Linked DNA regions of Drosophila melanogaster. The protein of the gene in region 1 interacts with the protein of each later gene in a pairwise test. Each region holds a gene or a part of one and is shown in the gene's direction. Other genes may lie near its edges.

Region 1 (8,312 bases):
AGGGAATGGCACCCAAGCCTGCGGCTCCAACAGCGCTAATTAAGGAACTGCTCATCTTGCCGCCCGACAATAGCTCTACACGCAGCTTTTGGATGACGTCCTTCAGCATATTAACCTCCGCCGCATGCGGATCGAGATTGACCACTGGCTTGTTTTTGATTTGCAGTGCTCGATCCGCATAGCGTAGGGTGCTCAATGTCTCGGCCACGTTGTAGTCGGCGGGACTGACGCAAGCAATCATCAGCGTAATGGAATTACCGCCCAGGGAGTCCTGCAGCAGACGCGTCAGCTTGGACTGGCGATAGGGTATGTAGCCAGCGGCCTGGCCAGCTGCAATTTATATGGAATATATAAAAATGGAGATCAATTTTCAAGCCAGTGGCTAAATGATAGATACTCACATCCCAGGGCATTGATCACGTTGCCCAGGGCCAGAAGACCCTTATTGATGTTCACACCCTCTTTGAACCGATCGCCGCTGGCTAGGGTCTTTGAGCAGCGTTCAGAACCAGCCAGATCCACCAGGTTGAACCTGGACGTGGTAACGGATTGCCTATCGGAGATTGGAGGTCAAATGTGTATAAGCATTAAGTATTCTAACGAGGTGATGGCGGCCCACAACATACTTGCCGTCCAGCTTGGTGGCTACTAGCGTCAATGTGAATATGGCATGGGATCTTGAAGAGGTTTCATTCATAGCCGTGGCGGCCACAGCCCGTCCGGCTGAGCCGCGGATCAGATGATCGGTCACTTGCTGGGCGGATGTGACCACTAGCTCGGTGAGGCCCGGCATGATAATACGGTTCTTGACCTCCCTGATGTCTACGGTGGCCTTGTCCCGAGTTTTCGACGAAAAAAGGTCATAGAACTGCTCCTGGTAGAGCTCCACAAAAGAGCATGTGACAGCAAAACGAAATTCGCTCTGCATTTCCGCAATGGCTGTGAATATATCATGAACGGCGCGTGGTATAACGCCCACATGGTCATCTAACACTCCGTTGAAGGCGGTGCCCATAGTGTAGGTCTTTCCGGAACCCGTTTGTCCATATGCCAAGATTGTTACGTTATAGCCATTTAACAGCTTTTTCACTTTGGCCTGTACACACGTCTCGAATAGATCCTTTTGCGAGTCGTCAATGTCGAAGACATAGTTGTACGTATACGACTCATTCCGGTTGACTGTAACCTGTGGCGCTCCATCCGCCGATCGTTCGACGGCAATCCGGCAGCCGCGATCCAACTCGGACTGCACCAAGGGGCGCACGCGCAAGGCCACTGCCACACAGCTGGGATCCTCGCTGGACATCTGGGGGTAGGGGGAGGGAAGGACAATCATAACATTCCATCACCTTTACCGCCATCTCGACCAACACCACCAACCACTTACCTTCTCTGGGGCACAGCAAGTCCGACTTTGGTTAACTGATCAACTGGTTAGCACTTACAAAAACTTAGAATTTTGGTTGGTCTAGATTTTGGAGCAACGCGGCTTCTCCACGCGCAGCCCGGCACTCTCAATGAATTCGATTTTTGGATCAAGGAACTAAACTAATGAAACGCGACGCTAAGAAGCAAATGCATTTCTGCCAGTATTTTTAAAAATGGCGTTGTTATCGATTCGTTGCAGATGTCGATTAGTGGCGCGATCGACGGAGGTGCCGGTGTAGAAAGATTTCGATTTTTTTATAATTTGGCTCTTGAATAGCACATTTGCAAAAATGTGGTTGGACGATTTGTGCACGCCGATTTGACAAAATGAATCATTGACAGTGTATCTACATACTTATACATAAAAATAAAAGCTACCTAGATCTACAACTATTTTAGCTACTGCCAGTGATAAGAGCCCAATTCTTGTCAACTAGCCAATTCGCCGATAGCCGATAGCAGACAGCCGCACATATCTATCGCTTTTTTGAACAATCGTTGGTAGCAACAGGGAATTGCAGAAACCAGTTGTCTTGGGTTTCGCAAGAATTGGAAAAGGAGGATCTGGTCAAAGAGCAGGACATGGAGGAAGAGGCGCCGCGGTTCAATGTGCTGGAGGAGGCGTTCAACGGCAATGGGAACGGGTGCGCCAACGTGGAGGCCACCCAATCGGCCATATTAAAAGTGCTGACGCGCGTTAATCGCTTCCAGATGCGCGTCCGCAAGCACATCGAAGACAACTACACGGAGTTTTTGCCCAACAACACGTCGCCGGACATATTTCTGGAGGAGTCGGGGTCCTTGAATCGCGAGATTCACGACATGCTCGAGAACTTGGGTTCCGAGGGACTGGACGCCTTGGACGAGGCGAATGTCAAGATGGCGGGTAACGGCAGGCAGCTGCGAGAGATCCTTTTGGGTCTGGGTGTCAGCGAGCATGTGCTAAGGATCGACGAGCTGTTCCAGTGCGTGGAGGAGGCCAAGGCCACCAAGGATTACTTGGTGTTACTGGACCTTGTCGGTCGTTTGAGGGCTTTCATCTATGGCGATGATTCCGTTGACGGGGACGCGCAGGTGGCCACGCCAGAGGTTCGACGCATCTTTAAGGCTCTCGAGTGCTACGAGACCATCAAGGTGAAATACCATGTACAGGCATATATGCTGCAGCAGAGCCTCCAGGAGCGCTTCGATCGCCTGGTGCAGCTGCAGTGCAAATCCTTTCCCACATCGCGTTGCGTCACCTTGCAGGTGAGCCGGGATCAAACGCAGCTGCAGGATATTGTGCAGGCTCTCTTCCAGGAGCCCTACAATCCGGCGCGCCTCTGCGAATTCCTGCTGGACAATTGCATAGAACCGGTGATCATGCGCCCAGTGATGGCCGATTACAGCGAAGAAGCCGATGGTGGCACCTACGTTCGATTGTCGCTTTCCTACGCCACCAAGGAGCCCAGCTCAGCGCAGCTTCGCCCGAACTACAAGCAGGTCTTGGAGAACCTCAGGCTGCTGCTGCACACGCTGGCCGGGATCAACTGCAGTGTGTCCAGGGACCAACATGTTTTTGGCATTATTGGCGATCATGTGAAGGATAAAATGCTGAAATTACTGGTGGACGAGTGCCTGATACCAGCTGTGCCCGAAAGCACGGAGGAGTATCAGACATCCACGCTGTGTGAGGATGTCGCCCAGCTGGAGCAGCTGCTTGTAGACTCATTCATCATCAATCCCGAGCAAGATCGAGCCCTAGGGCAGTTTGTAGAGAAGTACGAGACCTACTACCGCAATCGGATGTATCGTCGAGTTCTGGAAACGGCGCGGGAGATCATCCAGCGCGATCTGCAGGACATGGTGCTGGTGGCGCCCAACAACCACTCAGCCGAAGTGGCAAACGATCCCTTCCTCTTCCCACGCTGCATGATCTCGAAAAGTGCTCAGGTAAGTCGTTCGCTAAACGAAACGATTGATTACGCACTAATGGATTCATTTTCGCCGGCAGGACTTTGTCAAACTAATGGACCGCATTCTTCGCCAGCCCACGGATAAACTGGGCGACCAAGAGGCCGATCCCATAGCCGGCGTCATTTCCATCATGCTGCACACCTACATCAATGAGGTGCCCAAGGTGCACCGCAAGCTGCTCGAGAGCATTCCACAGCAGGCCGTCCTGTTCCACAACAATTGTATGTTCTTCACACACTGGGTAGCGCAGCATGCGAACAAGGGCATCGAAAGCTTGGCGGCGCTGGCCAAGACACTGCAGGCCACCGGTCAGCAGCATTTCCGCGTGCAGGTCGACTACCAATCCTCCATCCTGATGGGCATCATGCAGGAGTTCGAGTTCGAGAGCACGCACACGCTGGGCTCTGGTCCACTGAAGCTGGTGCGTCAGTGCCTTCGCCAGCTGGAGCTGCTGAAGAACGTGTGGGCCAATGTGCTCCCGGAGACCGTGTACAATGCAACCTTCTGCGAGCTAATCAACACATTTGTCGCCGAGCTAATCCGTCGAGTGTTCACGCTGCGCGACATTTCCGCACAGATGGCCTGTGAGCTGAGCGATCTCATTGACGTGGTGCTCCAGCGGGCGCCCACGCTTTTCCGCGAACCAAACGAGGTGGTCCAGGTGCTCTCTTGGCTTAAGCTGCAGCAACTGAAGGCCATGCTGAACGCGTCGCTCATGGAGATCACAGAGCTGTGGGGCGACGGCGTCGGCCCGCTGACCGCCAGCTACAAGTCGGATGAGATAAAGCACCTAATCAGGGCGTTGTTCCAGGATACGGATTGGCGGGCCAAGGCCATTACGCAGATTGTATAGGGCGCGTGCGCCTTTTTTGCGAGCGAGGAATGTTGAACGGCGGATAGACATCACATTTGAGGTGGTAAACGGAGTCTAAATTTGATGATCACCATCAATGTGTCCTTACTTTAATTCCTTGAATTGTTTACCACAAATGCCAAAAGTAATAGAATTTGATAATCTTTAATTCTCCGAATGGTTTCTGTTGTACATAGAAAAGTAATTATCCACAAAAATCCATTCCATTCTTCCCGCAACGCAACACAATATTTAACTTAAGACTTATTTAAATGAATAAAAACAACTAAATCCCATTAGTGCGCCTCTTGTCGCGCTTGTAGAACGAGCATGTATAGCTGCTCAGTAAGCAGTCTGTGATCTCGGCCGTGGGTGACGGTTAGGATGCGTTGGGCCTCCTCCAGATGGTGCAGTGCCTCCTTGGAATGGCCCTCGTAGAGCTGAATCTTGCCCAGCTTCATGTGAAGCAGGCCCAATAGCGGATTCCAGGGTCCGTGGTATTTTCGAAAGCCTGGCAGCAAACGTTGCCCGTAATCCAGGGCGTCGCTCCACTTGCCCACTTCGATGGCTGCTTCGAAGGCCGCATCGAGCGTCTTGACGTACCACACATTCAGGGGATGGAACACGCCAGTCTGCTTGTCCAGACACACCTTGCACACATCGAGATCTGTGATCGAGAGAGTGAAAATGTGCTTATTATGGAGCTAATTCCATTTCGTCGCATCTACTCACAGGCCACGTCCTTCATGTTCTCCAGATTGTGCCGGGTCAGAGTCATCGCCTCGTTGAAGGCATTTCTCAACTTGGGACTGATGCCGGCATCGCATCGCGGGCAATTATTGCGGTCCACACTGATTCCCGCACCGCAGTTGCGATTGGGACACAGGGCAGCCAGCATCTCCTTCGATTCCTTGGCATCCGTGCACTTGCTGCACACGCATAGGAAGTAGTAGTGCTCCTTGAGGTCCAGACGCCTCTGCTCCGGCGTATTGAGCAGGTCGATGTAGCTGATGAAGATTTTCGACCAGTCCAGGCATTCCATGTCCTCGATCGCGTGGACGTGCAGCTCGTTGCCCTCGAAGGTGGCGACCGCATTTGGCTGGCAGCTATGGTCCGTAATCGAGACGCCCAGATATATGGCCGTGGCAATTGAGTTCATCTCGGCGTCCAAGATATTGAAGCCATTGGTGATCAGCTGCAAAGAGCAGAGAAGAAAGAGCATGAGCTCCCGCGTAACTGTGCGCCGGGGAATGTGAACCGAAGCCCTTCCTAGATAATCAATTGACTGGCAGAGCGCCAGGCATACATCATTGATTGCTATCTAATTTGGGCGACCAGGAGCGGCTGCATACGCAAGCGTCTTGGTTTCTCGATTCAGTACCAGTGCGATGAATCGCCCAATCCGCTCCTGCTCGCTCGCACAGGTGCCTGCACACTTACGCGACCATAGATGCTCATCAGTTCCGTCTTGTTTGGCACCGTGCTGGGACTCTCGGCCATCATATCGGTGAGGACGGCATGCAGCGAGTCCAAGTGCTCCAGTCGCATGGGATCGTTCTTGATTTCGGCGTAATCTGTGCACGTTAACGTGGATTAGCTAGGAATGACCATGCAAAGCGGTTCGCCCTTTGGTTTACTCACGGGACATGAGATCGCGAAACTTGCGGGAGCCGTGCTCGGTGTAATAGCCGCGGATCAGGTCTCCGCCGTGCTCCAGGCGCAGGATCAGTCGGCAGAGCATTCGGGCAGCATCGGGCACAACTCGAGGATGCACCTTCTTGAGGAAAGGACACTCGTGCTTGTGCTGGCCCCAAGCTTGCATCTGGCATGAGCGGTGGCAGTAGGACACATACCTGCAGTTGGAGCACTTCAGCACCTTGGTCCTGCAACGACGAACCCAAATTAGATAGCTCACAAAGGCAGCCACATGGCGAAACTTACGCCTCCAGGCAGTTATCGCACCGCTCCAGGCGGTACTGTGATTTCAAGACGAAGGCGAATGGTTTCTCCGTGAGGATCCGCTGTCCCCTTTTTATTTGCGGCGCCGGATTCTTTAGGTTCTTGGATTTGGATGAGCATGCGGATGCGGTTGCGGATGTGGTTGCGGATCTGGATGAACCAACGGTGGCGGTGGCCATTTCGCTCGAACGGAGCAACAACAAAGACTTTCGCCTGGGGGCCCGTCTCACTGACGACTGAAAATGAGCGCACACCTGAAGATCAAAAATATTGTTTCGAATGCTTTTTGAATATTTTGCGGCATCTGATTTCTATTTTTGGCCACAAAAACAAACACAATTTACGCAAATCGCTGGCAAACACAAAAACAACAACACCATGGTGTTTATTCGCATGCAAACGATGGCGTTGCCAGATCGGCTGGAATCATGCTTTCTACAGTGGGCACCGCGTAAGGTTAACTTGTTAACCATATGTGGGTAGCTGCATGTCGTTAAAAAATACACTTAACAAATCATATTCAAGTTTTTTAAGTAACAAATAAAAAATATTTCTTTTATATGTTGTTCCCAGTGTCTACGATTTGGTGGCCTTGCGTCCTTTAAAACGAGGGAGAAAGCTATATTAGAGCAAAAGTCGAAAGCATTTGTGTTGGTTGGTCCGCAAAACTAAAGAAGAGCGATTAAGTTATATCAAATATGAAAAATATACGATTCTAGATGCCATTGTATCCTTGCAGAGCATAGTCATCTGGTTTTCGGTGCCCATGGGGGCTGTTTTAAGATTTATTTGTAGCAAACTTAGCATAGCATAGGGACAAATTGTGTGATCGACTCGAACGGACTCCTATGAGCAGTAAACGCGGGTAGTGGGAACGGGACTAACTAATTGTTCTGGGGTTTCGACCATTCGACGCTGAGGATCAAGTGGTCGTAGCCGTGTCCATTGAGGATCTCGATGGCGGCGGCCGCATCCTTGCGCTGCTTGAAGTGCACGTAGGCGAATCCCTTGCAGAGTCCGGTGTTCTTGTCGCGGGCGAGATACATCTTGCTCTGCGGTCCAATCTTCTTCACCAGCTCCTCGAGATCCGCCTCGGTCATCGACTCCGACAGATTCGATATCCTAATGGCGGCCGTGTCGTCGCGTCCGCGCATTCCCAGCGCGCCCTTTTGGCTGTCCTTGAGGAACGGCGGCACATACTTGCCGGACTTGGGCGCATCGACGGCGGCCGCGGCGGCTGCCGAAGCCTTCTTCTCCATCATATTCGTGTCCATCGCCGTGCCCTTGTACGGGCAGTTGACCGACCAATGCTCACCGTTGCAGATACGGCACTTGGCAATATTCTTGGTGGGATCTAGCAGCGGATCGTTGGCCTTCTCGTCCTCCTTGGAGTTGAGGAACTGCATGATGATCTCCTCGGACACCATGGTCGTCTGCGAGTTGGGGCCGGGCTTGTCGTTCTTCGAGTCGCCGAACTTCGTCCAGGTGCGTCGCTTGGCCACCGTCTTGGGCACCACCTGCTTGGATATCTTGTACGTGCGCACCACCTTCGTCTTCTTGTCGTCCTTGTTGTACTTGTACTCCGTCACGTACTTCTGTCCGTTCTCCACCGTCTCCGTCGTCGGAGGTAGTCCACCATAGTCGAGCTCCACCTCGTCCGCCCAGGAGGATTTGATCGTTTCAACGCCCGGCATCTGAAAGGAATTGAGGGCGCAGTGAGTGGGGCTACACTGGGCGCTTGCTTGGGGTGCACTCACTCTGATTTTCAACGCGATTTGTATGCGAAATCGTAAATGCAAATTTCGCCACGAGTTAAGCGGATTTTTAATCAGCAACAAAAGAGTGTTACCCTGCCGCGGTCACAAAAATATGCCGTGTGTGTCCAAAAAATATACCGCTAATACCACTTTGCACTTTTTGGAATATACCATTTGAAATTTCGTTACATATAAGTTAATAAGTTATCGATTTGATTTTGAAGATCGCAAGCGACCGTTTATTGCAATTTATCATTTGAAACTAAATCTAGCGTACAAAATGTTTCCCTAAGTCCCTAGCAATCAAGTGAAGTCGTCGGCAGCGGCGCAGCAGGCGTCGGCCGCGGCGCAGCGCAGAA
Region 2 (9,044 bases), on another chromosome or scaffold:
GTTAATCTTATTTAAGCTTTTCGGAACTGCTAACGAGTTAAATAATCTTAGGGAAATTAATAACTATTATATTAGTGAAAGAATAAGAATTGCTCTGCCAGAGTTAAGAAAATACATACGAATCGTGAAATAAATATTATTACAATTAAAATAAAAAATTAATTTTAATATTTATTTTTCGGCTGGCGGCTCTAATCAACAGCTGGAAAGATATCGATATCGACAGGAGAATATCGATATTCAATCGGTATTCGATACTGCTGCGATACAGCAAAAAAAAGAGAGATTTCTCGGATTAGATGAGATACCAACGAAAAAATTATTAGTCAAGTGCCCCCGCAGAGTAGTTCAGCCACCAAATAGCCCGCAGAACAGTTCAGTCCAGTTGGGTCCAACACAAGCCAGTCGAGAGCCAGCGGAGTAACAAGGAAACCCGTGAATCCAGAAGGAGGTGGAGGAGGAGAGCCAGAAGCCACGAAGTGGGAAGTAGAAACCAGATAGGAAACATGTCCTGGACGGAGAAAGTCGATCCAGAGCTCATCTTCACCAAGCAGGAGCGCATCGGCAAGGGCTCCTTCGGCGAGGTGTTCAAGGGCATCGACAACCGCACCCAGCAAGTGGTGGCCATCAAGATCATCGATCTGGAGGAGGCCGAAGATGAGATCGACGACATCCAGCAGGAGATCATGGTGCTGTCGCAGTGCGACTCGCCGTACGTGACGAAGTACTATGGCAGCTTTCTTAAGGGCACCAAGTTATGGATCATCATGGAGTACCTGGGCGGTGGATCCGCCTTGGACCTCATGAAGGCCGGCTCCTTCGAGGAAATGCACATCGGGATCATATTGCGCGAAGTGCTTAAGGGCCTGGACTACCTGCACTCGGAGCGCAAGCTGCATCGCGACATCAAGGCGGCCAATGTTCTGTTGAGCGAACAGGGCGATGTCAAGCTGGCGGACTTTGGAGTCGCTGGCCAGCTGACCAACACCACATCCAAGAGGAACACCTTCGTGGGCACGCCCTTTTGGATGGCGCCCGAGGTGATCAAGCAGTCACAGTACGATGCCAAGGCGGACATCTGGTCGTTGGGCATCACGGCTATCGAACTGGCCAAGGGTGAGCCGCCCAATTCGGAGCTGCATCCGATGCGCGTGCTCTTCCTCATCCCCAAGAACAATCCACCCCAGCTGACGGGCAGCTATACCAAGTCTTTTAAGGACTTTGTGGAGGCCTGCCTAAACAAGGACCCGGAGAACAGGCCCACGGCCAAGGAGCTGCTCAAGTACCCGTTCATCAAGAAGGCCAAGAAGAACGCCTATCTGATTGACCTGATCGACCGCTTCAAGAAGTGGAAGGTCTCCAAGGGCGACGAAAGTGAGACGGAGTCTGAGAACTCTGACTCGGACTCGGACGCCAAGCAGGGCGGCAGCAGCCAGGATGAGCCCTGGATCATGACCGTCAAGGGCCTGCATATCAACAGTGCTCCGCGGGCGGGTGTCAACAGCTTCCAGTTGCAGGAGCACGAGCTAACCATGCAGAAGCTGATGCAGACCACACACTCGCCAGCCGGCGGTGGTGGCGTGCAAGCGTCCCCTGCTGCAAATGCATTATCGTCCTCTGTGTCCGCCGTGGCGGCGTCAGCTTCCTCCGTATCGGTCATTACAGCCAACGAAGGTGTCTCCTCTGCATCCGCCCTGCCCCCCCAGAACAGTCACGTCCACAACCACAACCACAACAACATTAACAACAATAACATCAGAAACTTGAGCAACAAGCATGCCACCACCACCATGCTGAACGCAGCTCCTCCGCCGAGCAGCGTCACAAGCTCGTCGTCGGCCAGTGAGCTGCAGCAGAAGCGTTCCAGCTCGAAGCCGGAGCTGCGCCAGTCGCGATCCGCCGCCCCTCTGGATCAAGTAGAGGATCGCCGTGCCTCTTTGGGCCTGCCATTGCAGTCGTCGGTTCCGACTCCATCGACGGCTGAGCAGCAGCAACAGCGCCGCAGCAGCCAACGTGAATCATTCCATGCAAATAACGCCGCGCTGGTTGCCAGCTGCAGCAGCAGTAGCAACAACCACAGCCACGAGGAGCATGTGGCCACCAACCATGCCAGCCATGTCAAGCACTCTGGGGCGGGACAACGCCTAGTCCAAACGAACAGCGCCTGTCTGAACAACTTCCTCTTCCCCGTGCTGAGCGACATCCAGCGAAAGTACTCCGGCGGAGGATCTGCAGGAAGCGGAGGATCAGGCGGCCGTAACATAGGCGTCGGCAGCGACATCGGCGACCTGAAGTCTGTGTTCGAGCTGGCCGAACGTTCCAGTCCGGGAGTGAGCGACCTATTTATGAAAGAGCTGATCCACATGCTCGTTCCTGGTTACTCGGAGACGCGAATCAATACGATCATGGACCGCGCCATACGCAACCGCAAGTAGCTGGCGAAGCCGTAGCAAATTCCGATTCCAAGCAGCCTATTTTAATATATACACAACTTTATTAACGACACCGAGACAACACAAACTGAAACGCTGGAGCAGACATATTCCGACATTTAGTGGCCAACAGAGGACCGGGAGCGATGTACATGTATTTCAATTGAACAGTTATTTAAGCATATAATATGTATTCGTTTGTTTATCTGCAATATTAATCTAATGTAAAACATATATAACTTCAAAATAAAAACCCCACAAAAATAAACAATTCGATTTTGGCGCGCTAATGCGAACTTGGCATCATTGGTGACTCCGAGTATTCATTTGATCTGGCAACGCTGGACGCTAGCGAAAAATGCAGTAAATAAAAAAATAAATAAATTGAATAAACAGGATATCGTTAAATAAATAATAATTATAATCAAAAAGCCGTGCAAATAGAACATCAAAACGACCTTATTGGAAATGAGGAACCCAAGTTTTCTATTTGTTTTATATAAATAAAAATGGGACGTGTTTAGTTAAGTCGCGTTTTGGTGTATTTTTTGGCGCCTTGGAGACGGTAACACCAGTGGCAACGCCATTTTTGTTGACTCTTTATTTTTGTGTTTTAAGATTTCTTTTAGTTTTTATAAATTTTAATCAAGTATTCCGTGAACTGATAACTACATAACCATGGCGAATGCGGTGGTGGACGAGGAAACACTGGAGGCAATGGTCTACGAGCGCTCTAAGGCCTGGTCCAGTAAAATGGCGGTGAGTCCGTAGAAACCCAAGTGGCGTCTCTTCTTGATGGACGATATTGTTTTATAGGATTTTGCCAGCCTGGAAGACGGCATGGAAATAGATGTGGCCGAGTTCGACAACTTGTTCCACGGCGAGGACGAGGACCCCGACCTGGATGACGTGGCAAAGGAGGCTGTGGAGGACAATGTGCCCGACGAGGCAAAGCTTGAAATGGGCCATATCAACGCCACCAGCGTTACAGAACTGACACTTATACTTTGCGCCAATGAGGATAACGAGGCAAAGGCGGAGATCGAGGAAATCCTTAATCAAACGGTGCCGGTGGTCGAGGAGCACAAGCGCAAGTGGCGGGAGGCGGGACTGGATCGCATTCTGGACACTTTTGATGAAAAGCAGATCGAACACCATGTGGGCCGCTGGATGCGAAGGCACAACAGCGTCTACCTGGAGGCCTCACCACCAAAGTACCTTCCACCGCACCACAACTCAATCTCAGACGAAAGCGACGAATCGATGCACTCCATCGACACGGCTCGCTACATCCAGCAGAGTCGTCGGCGCAATGCTCACATGACCAACAAGAACATGACCACCATTAAGATGTACCGTAAACACTCTCACAAACGAGACGAGTTGCGGGCAAAGTACGCCTATGGTGACGAGCAGGAGCATCGTCACCACATGCAGGCCGTGTTGCTTCGCCGACGTGAGAGGGAGCGCCAGCTTGCATATCTGGCGTCTACGCCGATGCAATGCGTCTACTCCAGCGGCCATCATATGAGACGCAAGAATCTGCGTAAGCGGCGCATAAACTCCTGGATGTTTGACTCGGCATCCAGCAGCGAGGAGGATACATCATTCGGCGGCTGCGACTGCCACTCCTGCCGGAGGCATTACGCTCTGTCTAGAAGTGTCTACCAGTCCTGCCCGTACGGCAGAGGTCAACGCGAGTATCACCACCGTCAGATGGCATCTCGAACCATGCACACCATGCGCCGCCAACACACCTTCGATATGGAAATGGACTTGAGACCAAGGCTGCCAGAGAACGAGTGTAGTTGCTGCAATAGTGACCGCCTATGCTCCAATGTCATTCACATTGCCAATAGCTCAACCGAAGAGTGGGTGGTGGAGAACAGAAGTAATCATTTGACCCAGGAGACACAGGAAAAGACTAGGAAGCAAAAGCACCAACCGATGGATGCCAGGAAAGTTAGTCATCAACCGGTATGCTCCAAAGGTCACGAACAAAAGCCACTGAGTTCGAAAGCTACCTCTGTTTCCAAATTGGTCTTATCGAAAGAAAAGTATATGCAAATGTTTGATAGTGAGTCTTCCGATGAAGATAACGCCTTGGCTAAAAAAGGATTGCTATGCTGTTCGGATAAAAAAAAAGGAATGACATTTCCAACTCCAAATGCCGCTGGTAAGATTACCCATCCTACTTCCTCGGCGAAGAAGGCTATAAGAAAAGAAGCGCGTCCCAATGGTTTGGCACAAATACAAGAAGAAGGGCCGACTGCAACGAACTCTCCAATTGAATCCACGTATCTTCCAGTTGCTCATATGAAAAGCGTATCTATTGACGGATCAAGTGGTACATCTGCAACATTTGAATCTCCAGCAAAGAAAGCGCCTAAGAGGGGTATTAGGGAAACTTCACCACTCAACGGAAATGAATTACAGCAGCTGATATCAACAATCCCTATAGCTGACGAAAAGGCATCGAGTCTTATGGAAAAAGTGGATAATTGTATTGGAAGAGAATCTTTCGACGACAGAAATAAGGATTTCATGCACATGGAGAACTCATCGACTAAGACTGCCGTTGAAAAGTCTACCAAACAGAAAAGGGTTTCTGGTAAAAAGTCCGAAATTCCAAAGAGTATTATTACTAACAACGAAATCCTGGAAAAAAACAGCACTGAAACCTTATCTGAAAAACAAGTTGCAGCTAAGGCAAAAAAGCAGTCAGTTAGAAAGACAGGTGCGACCGGAAAACCGTCTACTTCGAGATTGAAAAAGTCAGAAAAAACGAAAACAACTTCTTCTGTGACTTCGACTTCGAAGTTAGAGCAAGTCAGGGAAGAGGAGTCCGATGTATCATCAGAAGTACTGGCAAAACCTAAACCACAATGTTCAACTACGGCAAGCATTTTAAAGCAAGGTGGTGATGGGGCATCAAACTCGGAGGATGATCTGCAAATAGCCCTGGCTATGTCGAAGGCCACCTACAAGGAGGAACAACAGAAGCGCAAAAAAACGAAAAGGGAGCCATCTAATAAGCAGCCCCAATCACCTGCAGAGAAATCAATGACGGTATTCAACAATCAAAGCGTAGCGTGCAACTCCACAGCTCTGGCCAACGACACGGCTTGCTACCGCGTGCTTCCCAAGAGACGAGGAGTCAAGAGGGCAGCCGCTGTTAGCACTACGGAGGAGAAGACAGCGACGAACAGCTCGAGCTCCCCAACGAGCAGTTTGGAAGAGATGGGCAGCCCCACAGGCGGGGATCCTGACTGCACTGTAGTTACATCTACCACTGGCTGCGAACCGCCTGCAAGTGAACGACAAGAGATTCCAGCGACCATCAAGATCACCAAGCGCGGCATTCTGCTGCACAGCCCTTCCGCGCCGGAAGGCGCCAGCTTCACACTGACCGAGCAGGGACTCGGAAAGATTATTGGAGAACGTTGGGCCCGCAAGTACCTGAAGTACCACATCGGCAGTCGGAGCTTTGATAGCCGACACTCGGTTTACTATCAGCCGACTCCCCAACTCGCCGCAGCTCTCAGTGCACCGCAGGATGCGCAGAACATCGGGAACATCTCGGGCTCAAGTGCAAGCGATGATGACATCTTCGAGCAAATCAATCGATATGGAACGGTGTACAGCATACTCGAGAATAATTCCGGTGACAAGTAATTAAGTAGTTAGGTTTCATATTTCAGACCTATTTTTTAAATATATTAGGTTCATGTTTTGGTTGTACATGACGGATTTCTTGGTGGTGTTAAACACGTCCTTGCAAAAGAAATTATATAAGAAAAGTTGTATTTAGTTCATTTTTTTGTGTTTTGATTTATTTCACGTAAATTACATGATCGATAGTGATAATAGAAAACATAATACGTCATAATCATTTTAATCATCATAAATTTTTCGCTTAAGTATTAAATAATTGTTTAAGAGATTTATTCGCATTGCAATAGTAATTCTTGTGTGTCGAAGTTGTGCTTTAGTTCGTTTCCATGAAGTCTATCAAAATTCATATCGGCAATTGTTAATTTTATGTATTCACAAGAAAACAAATAAAACGTAAGATCAATTTAAAGAGTGAAAATGGCGCGTCGAAAAACAGAAGCTTCTTCCTTCCATGTATGTACAAATAACAAAAACTTACCTAAAATATGATGATAAATCAAGAAATTAAAATTAAACAAAGAGCGTTATGATGAAAACAAGAAACACACGACTTTTGACCCTGGAACATGCGCGCCCACACACATACACATGCGAAGCATATATCTACACGTACACATATGCCTGGCCGGCTATATAGCGCCCTACACATCGATCTGGAATGGGGAGCCGGGTATATGCTCCTCGCCCCACTTGATTAGGAGCACGTACTGGCCGCGATCGCGCACCAGATACTGCACATTATAGTTGTTGTGGCCAGCGTGCTTCACGTGGAACTCCTCGCAGGGTCCCTTTGGTCCGTACATGCCCACGTACAGGATGTTGTTGCCTTTTAACAAAAGCAGGATATATTATAACATCAAGTTTAAAATGGGTATGAATATTACTCACCCGCATCGGTGGCGCTGATGCTGAACTGGTTCTGCTTGCCAATGTAGGCCTTCTTCAGGCCCATACCCTTGGACACCACCTTGCTGGCATCCGACTTAAAGGTGGGCAGATGGACGCCCGTGTTCTTGCCTCCTTTGGCCACCTTCTGCACGGTCTCCACGATCACCGTGGACGTCTCCTGGGCGCCCTCATCCGCTAACTTGTCGCCGGTAGCGTTCACCTTGAATGGCGAGCCCACGATGTGCATGTTGTTGTACTTGACCGTGATGTAGTGCTCGCCGGGCAGGAGCGGGGTGTAGCGGACCTTGTAGCCCTCCTCAACCTCTGTGCAGTCCATGGCCACCTTGGAGGGTCCATCGATGGAGACGGCCAACGTGCCAACGCCGGCGTTGCAGGTGTTGATGATGAAGTCGGCCTTGTGTCCAGTCTTCACTTCGTCCAATCCATTGCCGCTGGCGTGCACGGCAGCTGGATCGGCCACATCCTTGCCCACCTTGATCCTGAATGGAGAGTCGGGTATGTGGACGCCGTTGAACTTGACGTGGATGGCATGGATTCCGTTCTCGCGTGGATAGAATCGCACCGAGTACATCTCGCCGTCGATCACCTGGATGAAGCAATCATCGTCCGTTCCGGATGGAGCCACAATCTTGGCATCCAGCTCACCCTTGGCACCGTTCTTGCGGACCATGAATTGGTAGGGAGCGTCCGCCTGGATGTTACCCTGCGGGAACTGCTGAACCTCCAGCTTGTGGGCATCACCCGCATCCGGGGAGACGTACACCTTGAATGGTGAGTCGGGTATGTGGCGATCGTTGAATTTCAGGCCCACGCGGTACTCTCCCGGTTCGGTGACCTTGTACGACACATCGCAGCTGCCGTCCTTGCGGTCCTTAAACTCGATGTCAGCCTTGCTGGGACCTTCCACGGAAATGGCCAGGGAACCACCGCCTGCCTCGCGGGTCCACACATTGAACTCGGCCGCCTCTCCGACAACACCTCGCTCCAGACCAGAGCCTCCAGCCTTAACAAGATGGCTGCCGGAGTCGCGCAGTGGTCCCACGGTGAACTGGAACGGTGATCCGGGTATGTGCATCTCGGAATAGCGCACCGACACCGTGTGCACGCCCAACTCCTTGGGCACAAAGTGCACTGCGTAGAGGCCATCCTCCACCTCTTGGATCTCCGCATCCTCGGTCACGTTGCTAGGCGAGGTGACACAGGCGGCCAGATCGAACGAGGTAATGCCCGGCATCTTGAATGTCAGCTTGCACTGGCTTCCGATTTCCGTGATTGGAACAGCATCGCGCTCCCGCTGGATCTTCTCGCGCTTGCGGTTGCTGCCCTCGCCGGCAACCTTGACGGTGAAAGGAGAACCCTCCACGTGGTGATCGGCGAACTTCAGGTTAACAATGTAGTAGCCCGGCTCAGTGGGCTTGTACGAGATGTTGAGAGTACCGTCATCCTTATCCGTGCACTGGATCTCAGCCTTGCTGGGACCCTCAATGGAGACCGAAAGACCACCGAAGCCGGCGTTCCTCGTGTCCACGGAGAAGATGTTGTCGGCATGGGTTTGACCCTCCTTGAGGCCAGTTCCGCTAACCTTGACCTTCTTGGCGTCGCCCACCTCGCGCTCGCAGACAGTCACCTTAAATGGTGAGTTGTTGATGTGCTTGCCCAGACGCTTCACCGACACCAGATGCTCGCCAATCTCGCGGGGCGTGAACGAGATGCCAATGTTGCCAGTGGGCATGCGCTTCAGGAAGCAGGGCTCCTCCAGGCCACTGGGCGCCTGGATCGAGGCGTTCAAAGCGCGCAGATCGTCATCGGTAATGTCGCCGGGCATGGTCACTTCGGAGCAGGAGCCAACCGAGATCTGGTTGCGCTTGCGACCCTCGCCGGTGATCTTGGCGAAGTACGGCGATCCCTTGATGTGCTTATCGCCGAAGCGAACGGACACCTGGTACTCGCCAGGAGCAGTGGGCAGGTATTGCACAGATACAGTGCCGTCTTTGTTGTCATGGTAGTTGATCTGCAAAGTTGGTATTT

What was found. The genes of interacting proteins can lie anywhere in the genome.
Region 2: the proteins of Zw10 (region 1) and cal1 interact in a two-hybrid assay, tested with the Drosophila melanogaster proteins (one study listed by BioGRID).

What each region holds. Positions count from the first base shown.
Region 1 is NC_004354.4:2,602,293-2,610,604, forward strand, and holds Zw10 (Zeste-white 10), read left to right. Parts: upstream 1-1,904; 5' UTR 1,905-2,010; coding exon 2,011-3,360; intron 3,361-3,421; coding exon 3,422-4,237; 3' UTR 4,238-4,532; downstream 4,533-8,312. Other genes in the region: Klp3A (Kinesin-like protein at 3A), read right to left, coding at 1-330, 402-553, 627-1,306; Smyd3 (SET and MYND domain containing, class 3), read right to left, coding at 4,534-4,904, 4,970-5,432, 5,678-5,811, 5,879-6,120, 6,179-6,375; eIF3g1 (eukaryotic translation initiation factor 3 subunit g1), read right to left, coding at 7,081-7,890. UniProt on the Drosophila melanogaster protein: Essential component of the mitotic checkpoint, which prevents cells from prematurely exiting mitosis. Required for the assembly of the dynein-dynactin, Mad2 complexes and spindly/CG15415 onto kinetochores.
Region 2 is NT_033777.3:17,085,292-17,094,335, forward strand, and holds cal1 (chromosome alignment defect 1), read left to right. Parts: upstream 1-2,988; 5' UTR 2,989-3,110; coding exon 3,111-3,191; intron 3,192-3,248; coding exon 3,249-6,107; 3' UTR 6,108-6,647; downstream 6,648-9,044. Other genes in the region: GckIII (germinal centre kinase III), read left to right, coding at 507-2,435; cher (cheerio), read right to left, coding at 6,749-6,933, 6,996-9,027.